Linked DNA regions of Diceros bicornis minor. The protein of the gene in region 4 interacts with the protein of the main gene of each other region in a pairwise test. Links are inferred from orthologs where the notes say so. Each region holds a gene or a part of one and is shown on either strand. Other genes may lie near its edges.

Region 1 (7,970 bases), on a different chromosome or scaffold from region 4:
TCAGGAATGATACACACCAAATTGTTCATGGTGGACACTGAAATGAGGTGGGACCCTCTTTACTTATTTACTTATTTTTTGAAAAAATTGTTTTTATAAGCATGTATTCAAAAAGTCCTTTTGTTAACTGCAAGAAAACAGAGATTTAAATGTAAAAAATACTTACTTTATAAAGAGCTCTTATAAACCAGTTAAAAAGACAAACACCCTAAATTTAAAAATGGCCAAAGAACATCAACAGGCAATTTACAAAATAATACGATGATCAATAAACATATTTAAATTGATATTTAATCTTATTAGCTATCAAAGAATTGTCTAAACTTGCAGTGTCCATTTCTTCACCACTCTGTTCTTAAGCTACTCCAAATTGACTCCATTCCTCTCTCTTTTCTAAAACAGCTCTCACCAAGCCACTAGTGCCATCCATGTCACTGAATCCAATGGACGTTTTTCAATCCTGTTTTACTGAGTAGTACAGGACTTGAGAAGTCACCTTCAGATCCTAAATCCAAAGAAATGTATTCTCTACCAAACTGCCTGGTGATTTGCTTTTAACTTACCTGCAATTTTTTTCTCCTACTTTGCTAGCTTTGTCCTGGCTCTTAGAATCTTTTACTAAGAAGGAACGGTCTGTTATGCTTCTACACATGATGTCAGATTAAGTGGTTCTGCAGTGGCTTGCTAAAGGGAGAAATAAGTCCCCTGTCATTAGTAATGAAGAAAACTGCCATCTCTAACCCACTGCTCTTACATAAGATAATATGTTTTCCCCTAATATCTACTTATGCACTTTTAAAAGACTTTTATTGATAAATAATGCATGATACATTTTCCTGGCAAAGAAAATTCCTAATGGGCCAATTATATCAAAGCCAATTCATATGATATGTTTTAGGCAACCCAAGTCAGTCTAATGTTATTGAGGGTGTGTGTGGCCAGGGGTAACACAAGGTAAGGATTTGTGAATGAGGGAAAAACAAACATGATATGGTTACTGAGATTTTTAGAAGAATTAATTTCAATATTTTCATCTTTAGTAACAAGAAGAAATCTGGCCTATTTTTCTCAAAAACCTAACAATATTTCAAAAATCTGTGCCAATCCTTTCTACTCCATTGCTAGTCCAGGTCCTAACCACCTCTCCCTTTCAGTAGGGTAGGACAAGGAGAGGGCCTCTTGATACCAGTCTCTTCTTTCTCACAGAGCCCGGATGCTGTGTGTGGTTACAGAATTATCTTTAAATAAAATCACAGCTCTGGTCATTTTGCTCTTCTGCTCAGTTACCTTTTAATGAGTCTCCACAGTCTACATATCTAAAAGAAATTCTTTGGGCCGGCTCCGTGGCTTAGCGGTTAAGTGCGCGTGCTCTGATGCTGGCGGCCCGGGGTTCGGATCCCGGGCACGCCCCAAGGCACCACTTCTCCGTCTAACCCGAGGCCGAATCCCACGTACAGCAACTAGAAGGATGTGAACCTATGACATACAACTATCTACTGGGGCTTTGGGGGGAAAAAATGAATAAATAAAATCTTAAAAAAAAAAAAATAAAATAAATAAAATAAATTCTTTCAAAATGTCTTAGCAAGGCATTTAAAGCCTTATATTATCTGATATTGATATACCTTTCCAACCTTATCTCTTTAATCATAAAGGGCCTGCTGGGGAACTTGAAAGAACCAGCACACATTCACATGACAACGTGCAGGATGGATCCGAGAAAGAAGAAAGCTGACAACTTTAGTAAGGGGCCATGAAAGTTTGAATGTCACAATGAGAAAGTGAGCCAAGTTTGTAGCTACTTAGTAGAGAAAAAGGGTCAGATGCAAGAGAGATTTCTAAGGCAGATGGAAAAGATAATGACATAAGGTAGGATGTGAGTGGTGTGGAAGAAAGGAGAATTAAGGATAACATGCAAATTTTTTCTTGTGAAATTGTTGAACCATTATTCAGAGATACAGAAGGCAGAACAAGCTTCAAAAGTACGAAGGGTATGTAGCGTGTGATAAATTTAATATTAGATGTGCTTCATTTAAGATGTCTATAGGGTAGCAATGTACCTTCGACAGTCAGAGGTTAAGGATTTGGGAGTCACTGTCCTAGAGTTGGTAGTTAAAGCCGAAGCAGTAGACAGCCTTGCTGTGATCGATCAGAGAGCCAAGCAGACAAAGGCTGACCTTCAACAGTTCCCCACTTATTCTGTATCTTTTAAAATATTTAAATTTTGCCTGAAGCTAACTATATACCTGTTCGTCTCTTAACTCTCAGACTACAAGACTTCTGAAATCAGGAGCCTTTGGTGTTTTAAGGGGAGAAAAGCCCACTGTATTAGTTCAGGGGAGAGGTGGTCAGAACCAGGACCTGGAGCTCGGTCTATGACCATTTAATTTATCTGTTTTTAATCTTCTTTAAAGACACTCGGTGAGAATTGAGGGGACTAGGGGAACTGGAGCACTTCCACTAGGTTGAAACAGAAGTACCTACCCCTCAACTTGTTTTTCTAAGTTTACTGTGTATCCACTATAAAATAATTTCAAGTTCTTTACACTTATTTAAAAAAAAATTAACACACAAGAAAGGTAAAAAGTTAATTCACACACAAAAAATTCATCCAAACAAAATCATGACATTTCTCCACTTTTTTCTACGCAGTTTTAAACTTTTTCAATCATAACTGCACAATTCGTATCACGATTTTTTCACTTAACGTTATATATTAGCATCTTCCCATGTTATTCAAAAATTTTAAAAATTATTTTTAGAAAGCCACTTAATATTCACTTAATGAAGCTGCACAATTTTTCCTCACTGTTGATACACCTGGTCGTAGCCAACTTTATCCTATTATAAATAACGCTGTGATAAAGGTCTTTATGTAGAAAGCATTTTCTTCATTTTGGAGGGCTTCCTTAGCATATGTTCCCTGAAGCGCCACTCACGAGTCACAGGGACAGATTTATTGGTTTAAACCCACCCCTGGCTCGTCGGCATCCGCCAGCCCTCGCACGCGGGCCCCTCATCCTTCTCCTCACACCTGGGTGTCTTCCACCCTGCCCCCAAGTGCTGGTCCCTCCACCTCCCTCCCCGCCAACCCACAGCCTCCCCACACCCGCCAGGACGGGCAGCAGTGGAAACAAAATACCTTTGGTCTCACTGCCCCACAGAAAATCACCCTCCAAGGGGCCGAGCTGGATCAACAACCGCGGACCCAAAGCCCTGAGAGAGTATCGGAAGCATTCGCTCCCAGGCCTCTGATAGGTGACCTGTGGCCGGGCAAGCTCGGCAATGCCCCCTGTCTATTGGCTTTTGCTTGTGTCACGTTAGGAGATGGTCCTTCCTACTGGCCAATAAGCTCGGGCTTTGCCGCACGGATCTCTGGGAGTTGTAGTCTCCCTGAACATCCCCCCCCCCACCCCCGCCTCCCCGGCGCGACTGTAAACCAGCTACAAGTTCTCCCTCTCTTAGGAGATTCATCGCCTTCCCCCACTTCTCACCAGTTTTCTTAGTCTAAGAAGGAGTCCAGGAGCCCTAGCGTCAACACGGTTTCTTAACCTTTTTTGGGGCGGGGGGGATGGGGGAGAGAGGGCAGGGTAATCGAAGGAGTTGAGGACCTCTTTAAAATATGATAAAATCCCCCCAGAAAAATGTTCTTATCCATACACAAGATATTGTGCATTCAACTGGAGCTGCTCCATGGACCTGTCCCAGTTACAAACCCCTGTTCTACACTTACCCCAAAAGTGCCTGCCTATGGCCATAGTCCAAGGAGCTAGTGCGTCAGTAGGCTTTAGACCAGCTACACTCCTGGGAGTCTCTGGGCCATTCCGTGCAGCAACCTATGGGGAATTTCAGATCCTGACCCTCTTCGTACAGTTGACCACCATCTTTCTTGAATAACAGCCAGTCCTCCTTCAGCGATGCTGATAACCGGAACTCTCACCTAACCACCTGGACGAGTGGAGAAATGGAGGAAGAACTCCTCTAGGGCCCAGTCTGGACGCCTTTGCCCAGGCTTTTCTCCCCGTGCCTATCTTCCAGGGCCATTTGTCAGGATCATATCTTCACATCAATTTTCGGAACAATGCAGGGAAGAATGAGAAGAAAAAAAAAGAATAATTTTAAAGTCCCATTCATTCTTCAAGCAAATGTTACCTCCTTCAAAGATAACTTTCCAGATTCCTGGATCTCTTGGGCGGAGGTAATGGGTCTGGCTTGGAGGAGGAACTCAAGATAGAACTCATTCATTCATCCCACAGCACGAATCACTCCACGCTGTAACTGCTGTGTCCCCATCCGTCACAGATTTAGTTCTTTGAGGACGGCGATTCTGTCTTAATTCAATTGGTATCCCCAGGGCGCAGTTCTTTGCCTCGAAAACTCACCTGTGCGTGGGGCGGAACTACGCAAGATAGTGAATAGGGGTTTAGGGTGGCTGAGGGAGGGTAAGCAAAGACTAGTTTCCTCCCTTCCATCTCTCCACCCCACCCCACCGCTACCCCCATCTTGCTCCTACAGACCCGGGCAGCCTGGCTGGGGTAGGTGCCTCTCTGGTGCTTCCATAACGTTCTGAACTCCATGGTAGTGAGCGCATCTAATTAAAGTGTTGGTTTAGTTGCCGGCCTTTTCCTAGTCTGTGGGACTGGGTTGACTCCCCAGAGCTTAGCAAAGAGTAGGTGCTAGATAAATATGTTTTGAACGGATGGATAGATGAATGGATGGCTAGATGGATGAATGGATAGATGGGTGGGCGGATGCGCGACTTTCTTCATGCTTCGCTCACCATCCTCCCCACTCAGTGGGTTAATATCGTGACAGCCTGGCGAAGCTCGGGAGCAGCCGCGTCAGGGTCCCTTCCCCGGGGCCCCGCCCCGGCCGACCCCACCTTTCCGCGCCGCTCCGCCCCGCCGCCCCCTTCCCCGTCGCCCCTCCCCGCGCAGGTCCCGACTCCAGCCGCACCTCCTCCGGCTCTGCAGTGGCGGCGGAGAGGCGAGCCGGAGCGCCAGCGGGGCCAGGGCCGGAGCCGAGCCGGGGTCGGGGCAGCAGCGGGGACCCTCGGAGGCGGGGCCAGTGGGACTGCGATGGGCGTGGAGATCGAGACCATCTCCCCGGGAGACGGTACCGGGCGGTAGAGCCGGGGGAGGAGGAAGGGTCCCGGGGCGGAGCCGGGCGGGCGGGGGTCTCATCCTGAGGTGGCGCGGGGGGGTGCCGAATGGGGGGGCGCATAGGATGGGGGCGGCAGGAGGAGACCCCAGACGGAATTGTTGAGGGTCTAGCCGACGATCCTCCGCCATCCCTTTCCGCTCCCGCTCACCCAGGGCAACGAAGGCGGCGGCCAGGAGGCGGGGGTCTGCGGCCCGCCACCTTCCCGGGGCCCTTGCGTCGCCGCTGCCGCGGCTGGAACCGCTCGGTTATCCGCTACTGCTGATTTCCCCGGGCTGGGTTTTAGCTCCGCTTTCCCTGCCCTGCTGGGTGAGCTCTGGAAACAGGGGAAAGGTCATGCTTTGGGGTCTCGGCTGCTCGGGGCAACCCTTCTAAACCTCTCTGGTCGGGCGGCCCCCTGTGGGCTGGGCGATGAGACGGTGTAGGGACCGAGCCTACTGGGAAGGGAGTCTGGGAAGGGAGTCTGGGAGGGAGTCTGGGAAGGGAGAAGCGCTCCCTCCACCGGCTCTGCATCTTGCTTTATCTTCCCTGCCCGACTCTGTCTCTCCGGCCATCCTGTACGCTCCCATGGCTTTCATTATCCTCTGCAAACCAATGGCCTCCAAACTTAAGCCTCCAGCCCAAACCTCTGACCTGAGTTCATGGTGGTGCATTTATCCAGCTGCTGCTTGACCTCTACCTGGATGTCCCACGGATACCTCCAAGTCAGCAAGTCCAAAACAGAACTCATGTTCCTCATCTTCCCCACTCTGGAGTGCTCCTCTGTGTTCCCTGTTCCCTGTTCCCTGCCTCTAGGACTGGCGCTGCTCCCTTTCCCAAGCCAGAAATCCCTTGTATAATTGGGTCTGGGTGTCCAAGGAATAACCATTTCTTTATTTCTTAAATAAAACCTAATTCAGGCTGGAGCCCCCATTTCTGCAGGATTTGACAGGCAAACTTCATGTCAGACAGTATTGACTACTCCTACCCTCCCCAGAAAATTGGAGGGCCTCTTGGTTCCAGGCCACCCTCCTTGTTGAATGGCAGTGGTCCCTTGACATCCCAGCCCCTACCCAGATTACCTGTGAGGTACAGGCTTCTTTATCCACACTGGGAACCACGTGGTGCTGGGTCCCAGTAAGCATCTCTCTGAGGCCTTGTCAGCCCCCAGGGCATGGCCATAGAGTTCTGCCAGGGGGCTGAGGCCTCTTCTCCCTTCCCTGGCTCAAAGAAGCCTTTAGAGTTTTTTCCTGTTATCCTCCCTCCCTGGCCAGGGACAAGGGGCATTTTCCCTTGAGAGGGATTCGATTTCTAGGGAAAGCCTGAAGGAGCTTTGGCCTTCTGCTTTTAGCCCAGTCTAAACCTTTGAGTCAAGGAAGCACAAAAGGACCGGGCTACCTCCTGTTACCCAGGAGGGGGATATACAAGTGACCACTGCCATGCTGGGGATGTCCATCTTGGTTGGGCCCCACACCAAGTCCTGTCAAGTCCTCCTGCTTAACATCTCTGGGCTCCATCCCTCAGCCCCTGCCCTAGTTCAGGCCATCATCACCTCTCACTTGGATTTCTGCACAGCCTCTAAACTGGTCTCCCCACCTCCAGTCTCACCTCCTTGCCTTCAGTGTGGCCTCCCTACCTCGCCACATATTTCCTACACCACAGCCTGAGGATTCTTTAAAATGCATATTTGACCATGTTCCCCACCACTACTATAAAATGTTTCAATTAATCTTCCATCTCCTTCTCCAGGCAGATGGTGATATAGCCTATTCTTACCCTCTATACTAGAGCCTCATCTCTCACTACCAGTTCCTACCCCCACTACCAACTTTTTCTCCAGCATTTTAGCAAGCTGCCTGCAAGTTGTTAAACACACTAGTCATTCAGCAAATATTTATTGGACATGTACTGTGTGCGAGGCCCTAGGGTTACAGCAGTGAACCGGACTGGGCTTCCTCTATTGCTTGACTCTAGGCCTTTGAACATGTTGTTCACTCTTCCCAGATTATCTCCCTTTACTTCCTCCGACAAACTACTCATCTTTTAAGACCCAGTTTAACCATTATCTCCTCTCTGATGCTTTCCCTGATATCCACAGTCAGTCAGTTGCTCTCTGCTCCAGGCTCCCATAGAGTCCTCTAAACGTTGGCTCGGTTGTTAGTCCTCCTAAGGCTTGGTTATCCAGCCCCATGGCTTTAAATTCCACCCAAATTTATACCTCCATTGCAGACTCTCCATCTGCCTACTTGCAATATAAACTCAGATGCCTAATATGCATCTCAAGATTGCCACCCGCACAAATCTGTTCTTCCCCATCTCAGGAATTAGCTCCATCATCCATCCAGTTGCCCAAACTGAAAACCCAACCATTGTGCTTGATTTCTCCTTCTCCCTCATCCTGCACCCCATCTCCACTCAATTAGCATACCCTGTCAGCTCCGCTTCCAAAATATATCTCCAATCTGTTTTGCTCTCTTCTCTGCTGCCACCACGTTAATTCAAGCCATCATTGATTTCCTGTCTGGATTATTGCAATTGGCGCCTAACTGTCCATCCTACACACTGCAGCCAGAGTGATCTTATAACGTCTTAATTCAGATTATGTCATTCTCTTGCTTAAAACCCTCCAGTGGCTTCCTATTGCACTTAGAATTAAATCCAGCTCTGCAAGGCCCTGCATGATCTGACTCTTTCCCACTCATCTCCTCCTCCCTCCCTTCTTTCCAGTTACCTGCAAATACACCGATCCTTTCCTGCCTCAAGGTTTGTGCACTTGCTGCTCCCTCTTCCTGCAGTGCTTTTCCTAGCATTTTGCTCATCCTTCAAGTTTC
Region 2 (7,423 bases), on a different chromosome or scaffold from region 4:
CTTTTATAACCATCCATGTCTGATCTCTTCCACTGCCCAGTTACTTGGCAATGAATTCCCTGTGTGGTTTGGTGGCTAACTTGAGTTAGGTTTCTGTCACTTACTATCCAAACAATTCTGACTAACACAGACTATTCAGCATCCTGTCCATACACTTCTGCCACCCTGGAAGCTGGAGCCACTTGACCCCACCTGTAGCTGCCTCCCCTGCCTTTAGCTCCAGATCTGAACTTGGTTGTGAGGGACTATGAGAAGCCAATCAGCCTCTTGTCTTACTTCCTCTATTGCCAGTCCCTGTCTTGTACCCCAGTTTCAATAACTGAGGCCCTATCTCACTTGATGATCCTGGATCTCTGCCTTTTCAGCCCTAGAATGGACAAATCTGAACCCAGAACCCCATGGCCAGACCCATCACCTGCTGCCGTATATCCTGAATATTATCTTAGTCTAGACTTCCACCTATGGTCCATACCAGTCCTATTTGATGCTAATTGTGGGTCTACCCATTTCACAGGTGGCCAAGTTGCGCTTACATCAACATGAGACCTCACAGTACAACTTAAGGCAGCACTTCCCAAGCTGTGTTCCATGGGACTCCATTCAGTGAGATGTAAATAGATTTTCCATTAACACAGAAGAAAAAAGCAAAGTTAGCAATATTTTTTCTTCAATTTTATATTTTAAGATATAAACAATGAAGAAGCATTTTACATGGGGGTTATCTTCTAAAGTCAGCACTTAAGATAAAAATTGTGCCTCGTCAAAATTGCCTTTGGTAAACCCTTAAATTTTCCACAAAGCATAGCAAACAGACCTTCCACCTCTCAGTGATTTCATCAGACCCAATTTTTCCTCCAGCTCTGGAACAAGTTTCTGTTTTTCCAGTTTTGCTCCAGGTGAAAGTGAAGGAGTTGGCTTATTTTAAGGGATATGTTGGGTGGAAAATCTGTATCTAGATTCACAGGTAGGGCGGCAGGATGCTCACTTGGTGAGAAGCATGTGAGAACAGAGACTGACCGAGGGAATCCCAACTCAAAAGCATCCATCTCACACTTACTCCAGAGCCCAATCACTGAATCATTGCACTGTTTAAATGGCGTTTTCGCTCCATGCTCCCGTGGAACATGTGTAACTGAATTTGAGGGCATTGAACGCATGTAAAATAAGATAAGACTTCACCATATGAAAGAAAAATATTTATCATTTTATAGATGAGGAAACCAAGGCTCAAAGAGGTAAAGAATTTTTGAATCCATGTTTGCAGATCTCAAATCACAAGCTTGGGTGTGGTTACTCTGATGGTCAAAAGAGAGGATGTATACAAAAGTACCTATTACATTAAAAAAGATTATTTTAAAAAATAGCTACCATTTATGGAGCTCTTACCCTATGCCAGGCATCGATAAGGGCTCTTCATGCCTTTTCTTGTTTGATTATCACACAACAACTCTATGAACAGATGCAGAAACTGAGGTTCAGAGAGGTTAAGTGACTTGGCCAAGGAAGCTTAGCCAGGATGATAGAATAGGTTGCTCTAACCCTTAGCTAGTAAACTATGCTGTCTTCCTACATAGATGCAAGTTATCATCATCACCATCATCACAAAGAGCAAGGGGGCATTAGCCACTAGGGAAATGTGAACCAAAACCACAATGGGATACCACTTCACAACTCACAGGATGCTTATAATCCAAAAGACAGACAATCACAAGTGTTGGTGAGCATGTGGAGAAATTGGAACATACATTGCTGGTGGGAGTATGAAATGGTGCAGCTGCTGTGAGAAACAGTTGGATGGTTCCTCAAAGGGTTGAAAATAGAGTTACCAAATGATCCACCAATTCCACTCGTAGGTACATACCCAAGACAGCTGAAAACATGTTCATGCAAAAATGTGTACATGAATGTTCATAGCACAATTATTCATAATAGCAGAAAGTTGGAAACAACTCAAATGTCCACCCAAAAGTGTTATATCCATGCAATGGAATATTACTCAGCCATAAAAAGGAATTAAGTAGAGATACATGTTCCAACATGGATAAACCTTGAAAACATGATGCTAAGTGGAAGGAGCCAGTCACAAAGGACCACATATTGCATGACTCCATTTATATGAAATATCTAGAATAAGCAAATCCATAGAGACAGAAAGGAGATCAGTGGGTACCTGGAGTTGCAGGGGAATAAGAGGATTGGGAGCGATGGCTAAGAGATGTGGGGTTTCTTTTTGAGGTGATGAAAATGTTCTAAAATTGTGGTGATGATTGCACAACTCTGTGAATATAATAAAAACCACTAAATTGTACAGTTTAAATGGGTAAGTGGTATAGTATGCGGATTATGTCTTAATAAGCTGTTGGGGGGAAAAAAGAGCAAGGGGAGCCTTCTTGCCGTTGAAGAGGACCTAAAGTTACATTTACAAGCCTGGTCCTATTCCTTCCCCTAAGCAGTGATGACTCAGAGAGATGCCAGCATTATCACCGGGCGTGCCCTGAATCCTCGCCTCCTTCCTGGGAATCCAGGGTTGCCCTGCATTTCCCACTTTCCCCAGACACGCCCTGCCTGGCTTGCCCCAGCAGGCCTGGAGTAGAACCCAAAGTGTCACACTCACCTCCCGTGACTTCTCTCTGCAGCAGACTGGCGCTGCTTCCTCCCGCCTAGTGCTTCCTCCCCCCGCAGCTCACCCCCAGCTTGCTGTGAAATGCACATCTCAGATTTTAAAACCACGTGGAAATTCAAGATGTGCACCAGAAGCTGCACCTTGGGATTTTCTGTGCTGTCAACCACTACAGAGATTTGGGGTCATCCCCACACCCCACTTACATAACGTAGGAAAAGACGATCAGGTGGCAGATCCACTTAATGGTGCCATAATTCATGCTCTGGATCCGGGTGACTTTGTTTGTTTCATACTGGAAAACATCACTCCAGCTGCAGCAGGCTGCCATGGTGAAATGCTCGCTCTCTGCTCACTGGGGGCTGGACCAGGGCTCAACCCTCACACAAGGGCCACAGCAGGACCACCAGTAAGAAGGAAATGAAACGACTTGATTCTTAGCAGGAGCCTTTTAAGTTTGAGCTCCTCCAATGACAGCAGAGTGGGGGCGGGCCCTGGCAACCGCTCCAGAAGTGGCTGGAGATAAACAAGAAAAGCCAAGTCTTACAGTCCTGCCTGGCAGATGACCCCGCCCCAGCTGGCCTCCCCCGGATGCCTGCACAAAGATGGTGTTCAAAGGAAGGGCATTTTTAGAATTCTGCCTATCCCCTTTTTCCTTTCACTTTTTTGGACTCATTTCAGTTGGGGGAAAGGGGCAGCCCTTCAAATGTCAGGAGACCCAGTGCTTCCCTCGTGCCTTAGTAAAGGGCCTAGATTTTTCCATTGCCTCAAGCCCCACTCAAGAGATTGATTGATTCATTTCTACAACCCTTTATTCAGACCCAGCTGTATATGAACACTGAGTGAATGAAGGTTTCTTTCTCTCCTCCCTCCCCTGACTTCCTCACAACACCCAGGTCTGGAGATGGTGGGGGAATCAGATTTGCTGGGGGGTGGGAGGAGAGGAGGACTTTATTTCTATGCCGGATGTTTCCTGCGTGACCTGCTAGGTCCACTCTCCGCCCTATTCTGTGTCTCAGGAGGACCACCCATGACCTAGGCCAATCAGCCTAAGACGGCCAGAAACAAACTTGCCGTCCAACAAGATTAGGTTTATTGACCCATTCAGTGAGAGAGAGCACGCGCCCAGAGGAGCTGTGGGGCATCATCAAACAAAGGGACAGAGTTATCAGAGGATTCTGGGGGATGGTGGAGTTTAGATTAAATTTAAATGAAACCCAGTTTTGATAGGTTCAAAGCAAAGCACGTTTGTATAAAACAGTCAGCTTCAGATCTGAACAGCAAAGAGGATCCAGGGCCTTGTTTCCTTGGAAGCAATAAAACTATAATAGATGTTGAATATTGCGTCCAGAATCCCTTTATCTGAAGCTCTGCACCTTAGGTGCAGATCGAAGCTGCTTCTCTGTGTGAAGGTGACTTGGGTCCTCCAGGCAAAAATGGAATATTTCATTCTTACTGATGCAATTTCAAATAGCAAAGTTTCTGATAGACTTTGATTTTAGAGGACAACATTTCTCGGTAAGTAAGAAAGCAACAGTCTCTCACTCAAAAGATGGGGGGTATTATCATTTTAGAAAAAATGGGGGATATTATCATTTTACAGCTACAGAGCAATATTTTTTCCTGTTCTCTTTGTGGTGGACTTTATCCATTTCTTTACTTTTCCATTTTTTACTTTTCCAGTTTAAGCTAAATTTGACTTTCTCACCCATGTGAGCTGCGTCAGGGGCTCCCTTACCTTCTGGCTCCCAGTTCAGGAGACTGGAGAATAGGAAGACAGTGAGGTTGGATGTGAATATTCCTGGCTCCTCTCCTCCCAGCTGCACATGGCAGGGCTTCTGAGCACCAATCCCTCCTTCAGGCCTCGGGGTAGTAAGAGCTCCCTGCTGTTGCCAGTCCTGGCAGCTCATCATCCTTTATTACTTTTTCTTTTTCTTTATTTTTTTTTTTTGTGAGGAAGATCAGCCCTGACCTAAAATCTGCCAATCCTCCTCTTTTTGCTGAGGAAGACTGGCCCTGGGCTAACATCCATGCCCATCTTCCTCCGCTTTATATGGGATGCCGCCAGAGCATGGCTTGCCAAGCACTGCTTATATGGGATGCCGCCAGAGCATGGCTTGCCAAGCAGTGCGTCGGTGCACGCCTGGGATCCGAACTGGCGAACCCCGGGCCACTGCAGCGGAGCGTGCGCACTTAACCACTTGCGCCACCAGGCCGGCCACTTTTATTACTTTTTCTTAACACTGCCAGCACCTTTGTAAATGGTTCCTTCGTTAGTTACCCCACTGGAGTACACCATCGCTTTCCTACCAGCACTCTGAGTGATATAGTAATCTTCATGTGGATCAAAGAAGAGATCTACAGGGCAGTAAAGCCTCATGGTTAGAACATCGGTGCTGAGGGACTAATTGCCTGGTTTCTGATGTCCCATCTTACCACCTCTGTGACCTTGGACAGCTATTCATTCCCAAAAGCACCAGTCACTAGTGGATGTAGAAGTGAACAGGCAGACAACCCAAATGTCCATCAACAGATGAATGGATAAACAAAATGTAGCATATCCATCCATTGGAATATTATTCAGCAATAAAAAGGAATGAAGTACTGATACCTACTACAACATAGATGAACTTTGAAAAGATTATGCTAAGTGAAAGAAGCCAGACACAAAAGGCCACACATTGTATGATTCCATTTATAGGGAATGTCCAGAATAGGCAGATCACTTCAGTATTCCCCTTGCCACCACTCAAAGACATATACTTCCTCCCAGTCTTTGTGCTAAACTCTTACACTGATCCCTCAGGCTCTTCCCTCTCCACCTCCTCAGCCCTCCGTCCACTCTTTCCCCACTACCACCACTCCACGGATACTGTCCTCAACAAGCTTACCAATGAATTCTCAGTTGCTGGATTTAGTGGATATATTTTATTCCTTATTTTACTTGACCTCTTGGACGCATTTAACACCATTGACCAGTCTCTACTTCTTGGAGAAGTTTCTTCCCTTGATTTCCATGACTCCTGTGGGTCACATCTTCTCCTGGTTTCTCATTTTTACCTCTACGAATCTTTGTCTTTTCTTTCTATGGCTCTCTTCTCCCCTTAAATGTCAGTCCCAGCGAATTCTGCCTCAGAATTTTTTGTATTTCTGTCAGGATAGGACAGATTATGCTGCAATAACAAATAACCCCCAAATCATATGGCTTAAAACAATGACAATTTATTTCTCATCTACACTAAATGCCCATCATAAGACACTCAGAAGGCTCTGCTTATTGTAGTCATTCAGAGACCAAGACTAATGGACAGCCACTATCTTGAACTCTTTAATGAGAAATCTGGAAGGTCTCACAGCAGTGACTAAGTGCTCTGACCTAGAAATGATGCACTCATTGGTCCTAACTCATTGGTCAAAACTAGTCACTTGGCCCCATCCAACCACTAGGGAACCATGAAATGCAATCCCACCATGTATCCCCCATGTCCTCAGAAACAGAAGCAGCAGAAATATTTGGTGAACAACACTTACGACTTTTGCGTCTTCTCCCTGGGAAATTTCATCTACATACATTGTTTTAAGAATTACCAAATGCTGAAAGAAAAGGGGGTGGGAGGAGGGGCACGTGTTTATGTGTATTATGTGTTTAACTCTGCATGGAATATAGCTGGAAACAGGACCTACTACATAATTTGTGGGGCCCAGTGCAAAATGAAAATGTGAGGTGGGGCCGGCCTGGTGACATAGTGGTTAAGTTTGCACACTCTGGTTCAGTGGCCCAGGGTTTGCAGGTTCAGATCCCAGGTGTAGACCTACACACCACTCCTCAAGCCATGCTGTGGTGGTGTCCCACATATAAAATACAGGAAAATTGGCATAGATGTTAGCTCAGGGACAATCTTCCTCACCAAAAAGAAAAAAAAGAAAATGTGGGGTCCCTTATTCAAAAATGAAGAATTTCAACATGGTGACAGCAGAGCATTTAACCAAGCTCAGTTTCCTTCTAAGCTCGGGTCCCTATGTGACTGCACAGGTCCCATGTCCATGAAGCTGGCTGTGTCTGGAAAGATATACAAGATGGTCTCTGGGGCAGGAACTGGGGAAACAGTAAATGTTTTTCAAGAAACTTATCACCTTTCTATGAAGTTTTCTCTTCCGTATGCATGATTATTTTTTTAAATCACTGATAGATTTAAAAAATCTATATCTCCAGACCAAACCTGCCTTCAGATCTCCACACCTGTACAGTCTATGAACCTCCAGATTTAAATATCCCACAGACACTTCAAATCACATCTTCAAAATGAAACACCTTCCCACAAAATAATAGTGTGAGTCAGGAGCAACTAATGAGAGGGGGAGAGTGGAGACAGCAGATATGGACTACTTTTCCTGCAAGCTTGGCTATGAGGCGCGAGAGGTAAGAGTGGTTTTTAATGGGAGACAGCGTCAAGGGAAGATAGGAGGGGTAGTTAGGATGGAAACATTTGAGCCATTCAAAGATGTTCAAAGTGAAACGTCAAGTTTGGTGCTCTCTGTTTGTGAAGTAGGAAGCCAGGTCATGATGGAGGAGGACTAGGGGGCTTGGGTGAGTTTCTCGTACACAAGGGTATGTGTGTGTGTGTGTTTCTGGTTACAGGTCAGAAAATTAGTGACTTTCTTTTATTTTGACCAAGTTGGCTTTTTAACGGATGCAAGAATAGTTCAGTGTTTAGGGATATACTGAAATAATTCAACTAACTAACAGCTCCAAGAAGAAAAATTATTTGATTGTGTCCACAGCAGCTGAAGAAGCACTAAATC
Region 3 (6,952 bases), on a different chromosome or scaffold from region 4:
AAACGAAAAGTAACAAGGCTACGGCATCCCCACACTCCCTTCTCTGAGGGCTGTGGGGCAAGGATCCTAAAGGAACAGCATACCAGGTGCTCGCTCCGCGGTGGAATGAGGGAGACGTTTGTCGTCACGTATGACCCGACCACTGTGTTCATGTACTGAACCTGGCTGGCCAGGCTGGTCACCGCCACGGAGTAGAAGTTGGAGTTCCTGATTTTCAGGGTGGCCTGGATCAGGGCAAGTGCAGAAACAAGCGTAAGTGTCCTGGGTCCGAGACTTGCAGCTGCACAGCCCGGGAAGGGCGGCCAGAAGTCTTACCGTGATGGAGAGGACTACCAGTGAGTCCTGTTTATTGAACGTGACTTTCACCACTTTGATGCCGTCATCATCCACAAGGACCGAATGCGGAAATAGGAAGAAAACCACCAAACCAGATGCCAGGAGACACAGCAAGACAGACAGGAGGACATACTGCTTACTGCAAATGACACAGCATATAACTGACTCAGGTAGTTGGACATCAAGGTCCAATCAGTCAAGATTAAGTGCAAAACCAGGAAGGAGGGGGGAGGGACAGGAAAGTAAAAAGAGCCAGGAACCACAAACCAGGCAGAGTGAGTTGAGTGGGGGAAGCCTTTTGAACCCATTTGAACACTTTTTGCGATCTGGCAAGAGAAGCTGAAGAGAGGAGCTGTGTGGACAGAAACATCTCTTCACCTCCCAGGACACCCCTCTTCTCCAATTCCTTCCAATTCAATTCCCTCACTTGGCCTCCACCTCAGAATGCTTCTAGCTTCAAGTTTCCTTCCCCAGATTGTGATGAGGGCAGAGCTATCTTGCTTGAGCAAACAGTATTAAAGGAAATGGGGGATTTACAAGAATAGATAAAGTTTTCACAAGGTTAACGGACATTTGTACGTATAAAAAGAGACTAGGGACAGAAGTAGGTATTAACAGGAGAGAGGCAGGCAACTCACGTTCTCCGAGGGCGCAATCTCTGATCACTGTGTGGGATCAAAGCCACTAACTCATTTACTTGCTCTAGAAAAGAACCAAACAATTATTTTGGTAAAATAAATCCCATGTGTTGGCAGTACTTCCCTTCAGATGGCACATCAGCATTCCACAACATACATGTGTCTGGAATTAGCCATTTCTTTTTTTTTTTTTTTTTTTTTTTATGATGAAGGTCAGCCCTGAGCTAACATCCATGCTAATCCTCCTCTTTTTGCTGAGGAAGACCGGCTCTGAGCTAACATCTATTGCCAATCATCATCCTTTTTTTTCCCCAAAGCCCCAGTAGATAGTTGTATGTCATAGTTGCACATCATTCTAGTTGCTGTATGTGGGACGCGGCCTCAGCATGGCCAGAGAAGCAGTGCATCAGTGCGCGCCTGGGATCCGAACCCGGGCCGCCAGTAGCGGAGCGCGCGCACTTAACCATTAAGCCACGGGGCCGGCCCTGGAATTAGGCATTTCTAAGATACTAGTTTCATATTTTGGGTCTAATGAACAAGGAACAAGTAAATCTATAGAGAGTGCCACAAATCACCTGCCAGAGCAGTGACAAGGAAGTTGAGAAATCTAGGATCTTGTTCTGGCGTTACTGCATGGCCTCGGGCAAGTCATTACCTCTCTAGGGCACTATCTCCTCATCTGTAATATGAAGGCTTCAGAGCAGATGGTTTCTAAGGTGCTTACCAGCGATAAACCTCTGTGACTCTCCATCTAAACTGTTAAGACTTTCCGAGGGCCAACTTAGTGACAGATGATCCTGCACCTAATCCAGGCTCCACTCCTGAGCAGTTGTTTTTCTCTTCCCACTTGATATATTTTTCAGACCTTAGGTTGTTAAAGATTCACTATCCGTTTCCTTGAAAAGACGCTTCCAAGATGGTCCCCAACCCCACAAAGCTGTGCCAGGCCTTATGAGTGAGAACAATGAACAAATGCGCCTGTCAACAAATCCCACAACATAGAGCAAACCAAATGTCCCAAGCCAAGGCAACAAAGAACAAAAGAGCAGAAGTGAAGAAAAGAAAGGCTTTCAAATATAAGGAAACCAAGAGAAGTTGTGGAACCTGCCCAAGTTTACCAAGTCAGCTGAGCCCGCTCCTGTTCAGGGCATGGTCTGTGACTATGGTATTACTGCCTAGGAGAAAAGCTCTGTCTAGAAGACAGGAGAAGCCCTGTGGGTACCCTGAGATTCTCACTGGGGAATCGTCCTTCCCACGATCGCCAGAGACTCTCACCTGTTGGAATGTAGCCTGTCCCCTGGCATGTGAGACAGGTGATGCTGTCTCGACCGGTGAACTCCACATATGGGAACTGAGCGATGGCTTCTTCCTGCTCCCGTTCAGCCAGCAAATCCTCCCTGTCATCTTTCTTTCGCCTGCAGGAAGAGGGGTGAGCAAAGGCGGAATGCTGGGACCCCATGTCCGGTATGTGCCACTTGTGTCATGTCCTAGGATGCAAAGAGGCAAGCCAGGGCGTTAGTGGCCACACTGCGCCAAGAGAAGAAACTGCATCTTCCTATGAGAAAACTGAAAACACAATAATGACCAAATTGCCGTCCTGCGTGTGATCCCAAACACCTGCACAATTTCTACCAGGGCCCTCGTTTTGTAGCAGTGCTCCCCACCCCCTCCTACCCCCTATACAGAGCGGGAAGAACCGGGCCCGCTTTCGCCAACCTGCCCAGCCTCGCCCCTTCCTGTCAACTATTTGCAAACTCTGTGCTCTCCTCAAGAGAACCGTCCTGAACAAAGAATATGCACCAAACTGTTAACAGGCCTTAGGGAGAGCCCCATCCCCCTCCACTCCCAGCCCCGGGAGGCGGACTCAGGTCACGCCCCCCGGCAAAAAGCGACGCTCGGAGCCCACCAGAGTCGCCCAAGCGGAAGCGAACGCCGCACTCCCCGGACCTGCAGGGCGCGAACTCCCGGCAGCTCCTCTCCGGGCCGCGACCCCCACCACCTGTCCGCTTCGGCGGGTTTACCTGCCTCTTCAGTCCTCGGAGCTGCACGCACTCCATGCGCACGCGCCGAATGGCAGACTGGCCGGGGGTGGGGTGGGGGGTGGGGAGGGGGTGGGGGGTGGGGAGGGGGTGGGGGCAGGACACGCCGGCGTGCGCTGGCGCCTGCGCTCTTCGCGGCCCGGCTGTCTGCGCAGGTAGAGGGCGGCAGAGAGCAGAGGAGGACGGGGGCCCGCGCTGCTTGTGGGAGGAGGACTTGGGAGAGAGGGTGGTACTTCGCGCTGCCCCGAAAACGCTGGGAAAGGCTCCAGTCAAGTTTCCGAAGTAGAATGTCTCTCTGCCGAAGTGGGGGTGGAGGGGGGCGGGGTGGGAAGATGCTGCCGGCGGCCGAAGCCGTTCTCAACTATTATTTGAGCCCAGGGGGTGTGTAGACGCTGATACAAAGATGGTGAAGACAGAACCTGCCCTCATCCTGCTTTAAGGCCTCCCCCTCCCCAGCCCTCCACACACACACACACACACACACACACACACACACACACACACACACACAAAAGGCATGCACGTAAGGGATTAGAGAACACTTTTAAAAGGGTGGGTTTCTTCGATGCTGCCGGGTTGAGCTTCGCCTGCAGCAGAAGGAAGTGCGGCAGACTAAGCAGGTGAAGTTACTAAAGACGATGCTGGGGGAGAGGAGAGATTCTTAACTGGGTGAGTGAGGGGCCTGCCTGGCAGAGCAGAGTGAGGCTGGCGACCTCCGAGGTCCCTGCCACCTCCATATCTCTCTCCTCATTCTGTGGGGAAGGCTGGTGCCCCAGCAGCTGTCTAGCCATCTGCCCCACTGCTGGTCGCAATCAGCCCTCGGAGCCTTTAGAGTAAGAAGGGTTGAACAAAAAAATATTGAATGACACTTGTTGAAGACAGTAAGGCAGACTTTGTTCAAGAGGGGCCATGTTGATAGTTGTAGGGACCACAGCAATGGGATCTTGCAGTGGGAGAGAGAGATTGGGCTCAACTCTAAATACAGCATGAGCAAGTGGGAATTTATAGCCCAGGAGCAGGGTGAGGGTCAGTGGATGGAAAATTACTAAGAGGGAACTTCACGGGTGAGGGGAATTCTGGCTAAACCGACCTAACAGGATTCTTGTTGAAGACAGGCCAGGGTGATCAGATGTCACCTGGGGGATGGTGGTGGATGAGGAACCCAATCAGATATGGAGGGTGATGATCAGATATCGAGAGTTGGGAGTTCTTGCTAAAACTGGATTTTACAAGGAAGTGCACAGATGGGCCTCGGAGAAGGTTCAGCAGCCTGACTAAAGTTTGGTCAAGCAAAGAATCTTTATCAGAAGCAACAGGGAGCCATTGCTCCTCTTTTACCATCTCCAGCCCACACCTTCTCCTTCCTGAAATCTGGTCTTCACCTCTCTCCTTACAAGTTCTGTACCGGTTTATATTCCTTAGTTATACAAATCTGATTTCGTTGGGGGCAGCAATATGCTCAATTAAAAATACACTTCCCAGCCTTTCTTGCCATGGAAGACAGTTCGAGCCAATGAGATGTAAGCAGAGGTTGTATGGGACTTCCAGGAAAGCTCCTTAAAAGGGATAGAGACTTGGTGCTTTGACCTTCCTCTTCTTGTTTGGAATTTAGACTTGTTGTTGGAGATGGGGCAGCCATCTTGTGCCCATGAGGCAAGAAGTCTATGCTAAGGAAGGCTGGGTAGAAGGAAAAAGGGAGCCTGGGTCTCTGATGGCATTTGGAGCCACATTCAAGCCCTAGCCTCTGACTTCTCATTACCTGAGAAAAATAACCACCCCCCCAAAAATGTGGGTTTTTTTGAGTGTCTCTTTCTCACAGTGGGGTGCAATCCTAAAAGATATAGACAGAGCTAGCTAAGGAGAAAGCCTGGATTTTCACACAACCAGTCTGACTGCTTTAACCCACACTGTGTAGGCCACACTTAGGTTTCTACCCTCTTCTAACGTCTGCCCTTAGGGCACGTGCCCTTAGAGAGGGGGAGGCCTCTTGCCTGTCTGAGGCCTGACTTCCAAGTTCAGCTGTCTTGTCTGAGGACCCACTTCTGACAGGGAAGTCACCTGGGGAATCTGGGGAATGAGCCCATCCTTTAGTCACAGGGGTGTCACCTCACTTTGTGGCCCCTACTGGAACCCTGCCAAGGACAAAGTGCTTTAAGCTAATGTCTACACTACAGATGGACAGGACAGAGGGTTGTCCAGGCTGTCCCAGAAGCAGAGAAGGTGAGGAGGTGGCAGCCTGATTCGCTCCAGCTTAACAGGACGAGGAGGCCAGAGGCAGGCTGAGGGCTGTGGGTGCTTTGAAAAGGAAGGGAAAGGGGCTAAGGGCTAAGGGCTGTGGTGAGGAGAAGGCAGGGCTTCAACTGCTGGGGACTGTAAAGGGGCCTGGGGGCTTACCCAGCAGAACCCTTGAGGCTTTCTGACAGTCTGCTTCCCAAGCTGTGTCTGGGACAGTAGACTGCACTCTCCAGTGTGGCTCTTATTCCTCCTCGTCTCCCCACACCCAGCTCCAGGCCTGGTGCATAGTAGACCCTCAATAAATGCCTGTGGAACAACTCAGCCTGGAGGCCAGCCAGCGCTGTGTGGGGAACTCGTCCCAGCATCCGCCCGAGCCCTCCATCCCTCCATCCGGAAGGCAGTTTTAATTGGGCAGCACATTCCTAAGGAGACACGCATCGCTCCTCACCTGGGCCTGGCTTCCAGGTTTGTCTCAGCATCCTGGTTATGAGTGTGGGGTTACTGCAGACGTGAGCTCACTGGGGCTCTCCGGGTGGGCCGGGACAGGGTGGGGCCGACTGGGGACCCCTGCACTCTCAGCCTCCCATTCTCCACATGCATTATGTACCCCTGGACCCTCAGGCCGAGGGGAGCAGAGGCTGCGAAGGCCTACCATCCTGAAAGACTCCGAGGGGCTGGGGGAGGCCAGGGACAAGCTCTGCTCTGCCCACACCCCCTCCTGCCCAGGATAGGACTGCGGCAACCTCCCTCTGCACTGACAGGAGGACTGAGGGCTTAGATTGGAAGTGCTCTTCATTCTGCCCCTTTCTTGGTTCCACAGTTGGGAAAACCTGCTCGAGGTTAAATGACACCCAGGAAGTGGAAGAATCGGAACGGGAACCAGACCTGCCGGTTCCTAGTTCGGTATACTTTCCAAAGAAATGCGGGGACTTGCGAGAGCTTGGAGAGTCAGAGGCCGAGCCGGGACTCACCCCATCGCTGCGGCCGCTGTGGCACACAGGGCGATTTAAGGGGCACACGACCCTCTTTATTTAATCGATTCTGTGTTTATTCTAATGTGAATCAGGGATCTCAGTGTGCAAAGCTCTGGCCCATGTGTGGGCCAGAGATAAAGAGAGGAAACGGTCCCACCCTCTGAAGTTCCAGGGCCAGTTCTCTAAAGGGGGAGGGGGAAGTCAGCCCCTTGCATGAGGATCGTCTTACAGCAGCAGAGGGATCGCCTCTCCCCCGGTGCTTTTTTTGATGGGAAGCAGCTGTTATTTCCATTTCGCACTGAGACCCCAGGAATCTGATGGCCGGGCTCTAGCATCAGGTCAGAACCAGATCGTGGGTTTTCTGCTCCCAAGTCCTGTCTCTGTACTTTTCTGTGCTGTGAAGAGTGGTCACAGGAGGACGTTTACAGACCTGCTCTAGGAAGAGGAGAGGCACAGCGGGTGCGTATATACAAAAGGGGTCTAGGCGGGGGCTACACCTGTGTGCTGCGCCATGGCATTGGAGGCAGAGAACTCTGCTCAGAGAGTCACCTGTGATGGGGAGACGCGGTGGGGGTGCAGGGGCTTGTGTGTCCAAGGAACTGATAGTCCACCACAACCTGGTGAAGGGGACCCCTGAAGCTACAGTCAACCAAGGGGGTCCACGAGGCCAGGGTCTCCTCAGCTCCTTCCCTGAGTGGCGTAGAGGAGGCTGATGGTGGGGCTTACGTTC
Region 4 (7,577 bases):
AGGTAGTAGATGGAAACGTACCCTCTACACAATACAGTATTATAAAATGCAAGAAATATCATTGATCTCATACCAATATTATCATGGTAGAATGCAAAGAATTGGCTGTACAATTTCAGTTTGGACATCAAACAATTCTTGCCAATTTATGTTTTTAATGACAGCTGTGTTGTGTTTTCTGAGTCCTGTTTGAGCATGTCTGGTGTAAAGGTATAATTTCCTTTCCAAGGTATGCGATCTTTGGCTGGAGTCCAACTGAGAAGTAGTGCGACGTGTGTTGGGCTTCATTAGCTACCTCCAGCTGGGTACTCACTTGCAGTCCTCACTCTCCAGCAGGCCCCGGTACGTGTTGATCTCACTCTCCAGCCGGGCCCGGACGTCCAGCAGCACCTGGTACTCCTGGTTCTGACGCTCAAGGTCACTCCTGATCTCCGCCAGCTGGGACTCCACGCTGGTGATCAGGCCCTGCACCTGGGACAGCTGGGCGCTGTAGCGGGCCTCCGTCTCCGTCAGCGTGTTCTCCAGAGAGTCTCTCTGTGGGGGGATAAAGAACGTCACAGAGCTGCTCCTTCAGTGGGCTTCTCCATGGGGCTCCCAAGAAGTCACAGCTTCAAGATTTAGGAGAATGTGGCCCAGAGGGCATCCCAGTGACTCCGATTCCTCGACTTCACATTTCTCAGCAGGACGGCTGAACAGTACCCACCAGGTTGTGCTGGGCCTGCAGCTCCACCTCCAGGGCGTTGACCGTGCGTCTCAGCTCGACGATCTCCACCTGGTAGGACTGCAGCTGCTCCGAGCTGGACACCACCTGCCTGTTCAGCTCCTCGGTCTGAAACACCACAGGGGAGAAGACAGGATCAGACCCTGCCTAAAGGGCCCCACGGGGCCTCGGGTCCTGAGCAACCACGTGCTGAGATGCCCACCTGGGTGGTGAACCATTCCTCCACGTCCCTGCGGTTGGTCTCCACCAGGGCCTCATACTGACTCCTGGTCTCGTTGAGCACACGGTTCAGGTCCACGGTGGGGGCCGCGTCCACCTCGATGTTGAGGCGGTCTCCAAGCTGGCTACGCAGGGTGTTGACTTCCTGTGGATGCAGAAAGTGCAAGAGTGACTATCCTTAATGAAGAGTGGACTCTAAGAAATGGCATTGCTTGTTGAAGCCCTGTTAGTCTATTTTCTCAGAAAAGAAACTTGTAGTGCAGCAATCTGTGACAACTCAAGGCAAAGTGGTCTGCGTTCCATGTGACCCAGCTCCCTCCACACCATGACTGTGCCATGACACTTGACTTCAGAACAAAATTCCCAAGGATTTGCATGGATGCCACTGAAGGACGGACTAATACTCAACTTTCCTAATTTGCAGACTGGCTGCAGATAACCTCATAATACAATGAATTGGCTGTACAATTTCATATTGTATATCAAACAATTCTTGCCATCAAGTAAGAAGATCGTGTCAGGGCCCCACCCAGGTGAGAGAAGAAGCCTCAGATCACTCTTCACCAAGACTTTGAAAGAGACTCAGATTTACCAGACTTGATTTTTTTGGTCTTTGGGGGAGAGAAATTACTTTGCACAGCCTGATTAGATTGATGCTGAGACTCAGTCTACAACTCAGTAACCAATCACAAGCCGATGGAGGTCCCCTGGGAAACTCAAATGATACACCAGTTTTGAATGAAAGATATATCTTATCTGGGAACAAGGATAGGTTTCATCTCTCAATATTTTTCTTTCATCATGAAGTTTTGGTGTTTTTCAAGGAAATTTATAAAGTCACCTTCAGCCTGGTACTCCTGATTCTGCCACTCCAAAGACTAAAGCCACCCTCAGCCTGACACTGAATCGGGTTTCTTCATTTCTCATTTCTGGTCTCACCTCCTCATGGTTCCTCTTGAGGCAGAGCAGCTCCTCCTTCAGGGACTCTACCTGGGCCTCCAGGTCAGCCTTGCACAGGGTCAGCTCGTCCAGGATCCTGCGCAGGCCGTTGATGTCTGACTCCACCAGCTGCCGCAAGCCCAGCTCCGTCTCATACCTGCACAAGGATAGGGTCAGAGCAGTAATGGCAGACCTTCGAGACTCACAGGAATGACCTTTTCTAACCCCATTCACCTTGTCTTCCCACTTTCTGCAATGAATAGACAGAGCATTCTGGAGAGTCAATCAAGACAAAATGTTGATCCAAAAATACAGATTGATTTGAGTCCTCATCTATTTTTTATTCCTTTTCTTGGTTCCTCTCCATCTCTGCAGGATCCTTCACAACCAACAGATTGAAGTGTTGTTCAGTAAAACTATGGAAATCCCTTTTCTTTAACTAGAGATTTAAAAAAAAAGAGTGGACACCAGTGTGAATTCTGAACAACTCACTTGGTTCTGAAGTCATCCGCGGCCAGCTTGGCGTTATCAATCTGCACCACCAGCCTTGCGTTCTCAGACTTGGTGCACAGGATCTGGGGAATGAGGTGTTGCTTAGCGAGGATTGAAAATAAGTATGAAACCATCAACTTCTTTTAAAAGGCTTTAAAAGCTATTTTGAAGGTAAAAAGGAGAAGCAAGAATCATGATGGCATAGAAGCAAGAAACACGGTTCTCTATCACAGATTGAGAGTCATAGCAAACTTCCCTTGCTTACAGATGACAGCAAGGCCCCTCACCTTCTGCTGGAGCTCCTCGATGGTGCGGAAGTAGGACTGGTAGTTGGGGCACACTTCCGGCTCCTGCTGCTGGCTCCGCTCCCGGATGCGGCTCTCCAGCTCCGCGTTGTCCCGCTCCAGCTGGCGCACCTTCTCCAGGTAGCTGGCCAGGCGGTCGTTCAGGAACTGCATGGTCTCCTTCTCACTGCCATTGAAGGAGCCCTCGCAGAACCAGCTGCAGCTGCCCATGTTGGCGGGGATGTTGCAGGCCCCGGGCAGGGTGCAGCTGCGACAGCTGGGGGGAACGCAGGGCCGGGCAGAGAAGCTGGAGCGGCAGCTCAGGTTGGGCAGGATGCAGTTGTAAGGCATGGTGCTGGAGGGAGCAAGGGTCTCAGCTGAAGACAGAGTCCAAGTTGTCCCAGGAGCTTGTGGGCCTCCTGCCTCTGGGGAGCATTTATACCCCCTCCACAGAGGGTGTGGACGTGGTATTTAATGTCTTTTTTCTTTTTACTTCTTCACTGGCTTTCAAACGCCCTTCCCTTAAGTCTGTTATATGCCTTCCTCAGAAGAGTCCCCTGTCCCATAAAATTCTTTACTTGGGCTTCTTGCTAAGTCAGGACTCCTCTTGAGGCTGTACACCCATGAAATCAGAGTTTCGTGGTAGACCTTCAAAGAGCCCACACAGTCTAGCCCAAGGATCTGCCCTTGTTAATTGGGAGTTCGTCCATCCAATGACATTGCTTTGTGCCACCTGATCCTGTAAACCCACGATCAAACTCATCTCCTGGCCCCCTGGCATTTCTAGGGAGGGACTGGGACTGAGTCAAGGAAGAAGTTGCATTAAGTGGGCAGCAGTGGACTCTCTTCCCATCTGCTTTGAGAGAAGGATCCTTCAATGATGTAGCGTCCCAAGCCTTGGAAGCCTTGAGGTGGATAAGGATTGACTTGGGCCGTGGCTGAGAAGGATGGACAGTTGTTTGTGTAATGCCTCCTGTATATCACTTAAAAAGATTTTAGAGAAATTTTAAAGGTAGGGGTTTTGATAAATAGTTTGAGAACAGGGAAAGTTCTGGAGGAAGAGATCATTTCAAAAGAGAGCTGAAAAAATGCAAGCTGAGAGATCTATATAAATGCATTGAAACTACCTAGGAAAAGGATCTGGAGGCAGGTCTGAGGGAAAGGAATAAGGAAGTGCTTGTCAAAATTTTTCACCTAAGTGTCCATAGCATTAGAACAGAGTGCGCGGGTAATCGGGAGAGTCAGGAGATAGCCCCAAGGGGCCTCCTCAAGCATGAAAACTTTGAAGCTGATCTTAAAACTTCACGTGAATTGACCTTATATTCCATAATATACTCATGTTGGCTTTAAAATGAAAAATCACGTTAAGGTTTCCAGTTAAACTTTCTAACGTTTTGCCCAATTCTCAAGGTGAAATTGACACACCAAGAAGATGCACCATATCCTGTCCTGCGCTTCCCATTCTCAGCCTTGCTGGGTTATGTGCAAGCTGGTTTGAGAACCAAAGGTGAAAACGTACCAAGGAGGTCTCTGTGGTCATGTAATTGAATCCAAGGACCTGGGCACCAGGACAGAAAATGCTGAGACACAGAGTAAACAGGGGATTTTGCAAGGCAAGCTTAGCGTCATTTGGGATTGATTTGGGGGATGAAGGAAGGCACGAGAAGGTCTGAGGAAGGGGTGGCCAAAGTTCTGCATATATAAAAGTTGCATAATTATAGGCACCACCGGGTCCCACCTGCGTCTCAGGTATCAGCGCCCCAACCTCACTGTGGCTTTGGCCACCAGCCATAGCAGTAGTTTTATTGACATCTTATTGGAGTCCTTCTCCCCATCGAGCTTTCATGATAGTATTCATGCAACGCTCTGCTTGAGTCTCAGTACGCTCTTCATCTACCCTCTCCAAGGCCATTATCACCACTTATTATAATGCCATCCAGATGAAAAGCCACACTGTGCTACAAAGAAGCCCCAGACATATAATAAAATCAAAATTTCTTTGTTTGCCTCCACGGCAATTAAAGGGGGAGAAATGGGTGGGTCCTCTGGCAGGCATCACCGAGACTCTCCGGAGGAAGGGCACAAGGCTAGGTGGCGGCAGTCAGTAGGCAGCTCCAGTCTCGCTTCGTCCAGGCTGGGGACATGTGGAAAGGCCTGTGAGTCTGACTGAGGAGCATTCACTGGTAGGGAACAGCACAGGACTCCTGCCCCCAACTCTTATCAGCCTGCTCTAAAGCACTGGCTTTCCAGCAAGGAGCTGTTTCCTCAGTCCTGGCTTCCTCCCCACCCAGGAAGGAGCAGGAGCTAAATGCCAGTGGCACTCTCCAAGCTCTTTGGTCTCATCTACTGACTGGCCAGCGTAGCCTTGTGGAGGCTTTAGTCAAAGCAGAATGTTTAGATTCTAAATAAGAGAAGATTCAAAGATGGGTCAACGAGAGAGAGAGAGAGAGAGAGAGAGAGAGAGAGAGAGAGAGACAGCAAAAGTAGAATTTGCATACAATGCAGAGAGATCAGAGAAATGGGGAGAGACGGAAACAGGAAGAGGTGTGTTTCATAAAAGAGATAAGAACATCAAGAAGAGGCAAGGAGGGAACCTGGGGGGAATCGTCAGAATCACTTGGGGCCAAGCTGATCAGACAAAGCTAGTATGTCTTCAAATGAGTGAACCTGGAGAACGCAAAGCAGCCAAGGCAACCTGAATTGATGGACAGAAGAGTGGGCCGCCCTGCTGAGTGTCCTGCGAGGTATAAATGGAGGTGACTCGGAAAAGATCTACAGACACAATACCACACCTTCTGAGGCCTCCGAAAGCAGTGACGTTGTTCCAGGGTGTCCAGACCAGAGCATCGCCTCCACGATCCACTCTGGGATTTGTTCGTGCCTGAGAAATGCACTGTGGTCTACACCCCAGCAGTGTAAAGTCAAAGGCGCAAGGCTACCTGTTTCTGAAGGAATAAGGAGTGTGGAGAGGGGAAGGAAGAAAGGAGCAGACGGAATTAAACCTGCACTGGCTTCAGGTCACGGCCAACCAGCAGCCACAGAGAAGATGCGGGAAAGAACGGGTTACCCCTGTTACCTGCCTATTTCTCCTGGAGATACCTCTTTTCCCTGCAGATGGTGAAATGGCACAAGAATTCAGGATGGAGAGAGCAGACAGACTGGCTGGTGAGTAAACATAATGCCGCCACACCATTTAGCCTCTTTCTTGCAGTGTTTTCAAAATATCAATAGGCTTGAGAGAATTTGCTTCTTGAATTAATGGGGAGAATGGGACTCTGGCGTTGTGAGGTCTCCATGACCTCACACAGGTTAGGGGTAGACTTCATGTAGTCTTTTGATCTCCTAATTGAAGTATCTGCAAACTTTATTCATTCGGAGAGAAACTGAGCAGTCAAGGAACTATCAAACCCACTTTCTTTATTTAGCTCAATTTTATTCAAAACATATTTATTGAGCAGCTTCTCCACGCTGGGAACGGGACTAAATTGAAAAGAAGAATCATAGTTCAGGCAGTGGAGTGTCTTTTTATGAGTAATTCATATATGGGTCCCCCAAATATATGAGAAATAACAAGAAGGTAAGGAGGTGAGATATTTGAAAGGTGTGAGGAGGACGTTTGGAAATATGTTTGTGTTTAATGTAATTAGAAGATTGCATACATGATACTACGGGCAGCAGTCATTGGTTGAACATCTTTCAAGCACCTGACATAGTCCCAGGGCTGGGGACAGGGGGTCGGTGGGGAGTGGGATGGTGGGGAGATGACATGCCCCTGCCCTCTGCCAGCTCTCAGTCCTGCTGAGCAGACAGGTCCACAACTGACTCTGACATAAGGTAATACAGTTGGGCCCTTTACCCCTTAAAAATTTCTTCCTTTCCCCCTCCCACTTCTTCCCACGGCTATTCCTGCCCCTAACTCCAGTCAGGCTATTTCAGCTCAATTCTTGATTCTCAGCCAGGAGATGAGGGGTGAGGCCATTTCAGATTATTTATCTTCATCCCAAAGGAGATTTATTCGTGACTCCACTCTCTAGGTGACTCAGAGGTAGGATTCAAACAACTGATCTCATTAGAATCCTAATCCCTTTAAGAATCTTTTCTTCAACAGCCCTGGTAACTGGTTATTTTGGTATTTGGTTCTCATTGCTTTGGAGACCACAGGTGGTGACTGCCCATGGCTTCAGCCCTGCAGCGTCCCCATAGGACCGGTGGGCATACAAGTTTCAAAGCAGGTGAAAGAGGCTTCCAGGGATGTGGTATGGGGCAGAAGAAAGAAAGGAGGCAGTACTAAATCAAGCAAGTAAAAGAGGAGATAAAAATAGAAATAGAGACTAGTGGAGAGAAATGGAGGTGACGCGTGAAACTGCTGGTGAGCAGACACAGTTCTGCTTCGGGGTGAGAGAGATCTACTGCCGGGTGGAGCATTTGGTTGGAGAGCCTTGGAGGCCAATGTGAATGAGGGAAGCACACATTTAGGATGTCTGAGAACCAGGGAGAAGGAACGGGGAAGGGAGGCAAGGGAGATTTGGGTACACAAACCAGCAGAAAGGGGGAGCCTCAGTTGAAGGAGGCCAGGAGACAACCAAAGGCCAGAAGCTGAGTCCACAATGTGGTTAGGAAGGAGAGGACACTGCAGGGTGGGAGAAAGCACCAGGAAGCTTATCCTTGGGGAGATTCCCAGGCCCTGGAAGACTTTGCCCTGCAAAACCCACCTCAGCTACCTCGCCCCAGCATTTGAGAGTGGGTCTGAATGTGAACTTTTATCCAGATGTACCTCCAGCAAAGCCCTTAGTGGCTCGGTGCAGGGTAAGGACAATGGATCAGGAATGAGAAGACTTGGGTGTGAGTGAGACCAGCTTTGAGACCTTGGGGTGGGGAGGTCACTCACCTCCCTAACCCTGAACCTCTCCCCTGCGAAATGG

Evidence for each region.
Region 1: the proteins of keratin, type I cuticular Ha1 (region 4) and FKBP1B interact in binary tests that used the Homo sapiens proteins (3 or more experiments, as listed by UniProt). The two-hybrid records come from large-scale screens. The link is inferred for Diceros bicornis minor from reciprocal best matches to the Homo sapiens genes KRT31 and FKBP1B.
Region 2: the proteins of keratin, type I cuticular Ha1 (region 4) and P2RX7 interact in binary tests that used the Homo sapiens proteins (3 or more experiments, as listed by UniProt). The two-hybrid records come from large-scale screens. The link is inferred for Diceros bicornis minor from reciprocal best matches to the Homo sapiens genes KRT31 and P2RX7.
Region 3: the proteins of keratin, type I cuticular Ha1 (region 4) and TMEM106C interact in binary tests that used the Homo sapiens proteins (3 or more experiments, as listed by UniProt). The two-hybrid records come from large-scale screens. The link is inferred for Diceros bicornis minor from reciprocal best matches to the Homo sapiens genes KRT31 and TMEM106C.

What each region holds. Positions count from the first base shown.
Region 1 is NC_080751.1:58,294,914-58,302,883, reverse strand, and holds the start of FKBP1B (peptidyl-prolyl cis-trans isomerase FKBP1B), read left to right. Parts: upstream 1-4,963; 5' UTR 4,964-5,078; coding exon 5,079-5,115; intron 5,116-7,970. UniProt on the Homo sapiens protein: Has the potential to contribute to the immunosuppressive and toxic effects of FK506 and rapamycin. PPIases accelerate the folding of proteins. It catalyzes the cis-trans isomerization of proline imidic peptide bonds in oligopeptides.
Region 2 is NC_080774.1:8,684,821-8,692,243, forward strand, and holds the start of P2RX7 (P2X purinoceptor 7), read right to left. Parts: upstream 3,020-7,423; 5' UTR 2,952-3,019; coding exon 2,827-2,951; intron 1-2,826. UniProt on the Homo sapiens protein: ATP-gated nonselective transmembrane cation channel that requires high millimolar concentrations of ATP for activation. Upon ATP binding, it rapidly opens to allow the influx of small cations Na(+) and Ca(2+), and the K(+) efflux.
Region 3 is NC_080756.1:21,948,922-21,955,873, forward strand, and holds the start of TMEM106C (transmembrane protein 106C), read right to left. Parts: upstream 3,018-6,952; 5' UTR 3,000-3,017; exon of another isoform or gene 2,881-2,999; intron 2,462-2,880; 5' UTR 2,434-2,461; coding exon 2,250-2,433; intron 1,039-2,249; coding exon 975-1,038; intron 476-974; coding exon 316-475; intron 225-315; coding exon 84-224; intron 1-83.
Region 4 is NC_080757.1:40,761,969-40,769,545, forward strand, and holds the start of keratin, type I cuticular Ha1, read right to left. Parts: upstream 3,013-7,577; 5' UTR 3,007-3,012; coding exon 2,659-3,006; intron 2,455-2,658; coding exon 2,372-2,454; intron 2,037-2,371; coding exon 1,880-2,036; intron 1,086-1,879; coding exon 924-1,085; intron 830-923; coding exon 704-829; intron 535-703; coding exon 314-534; intron 1-313.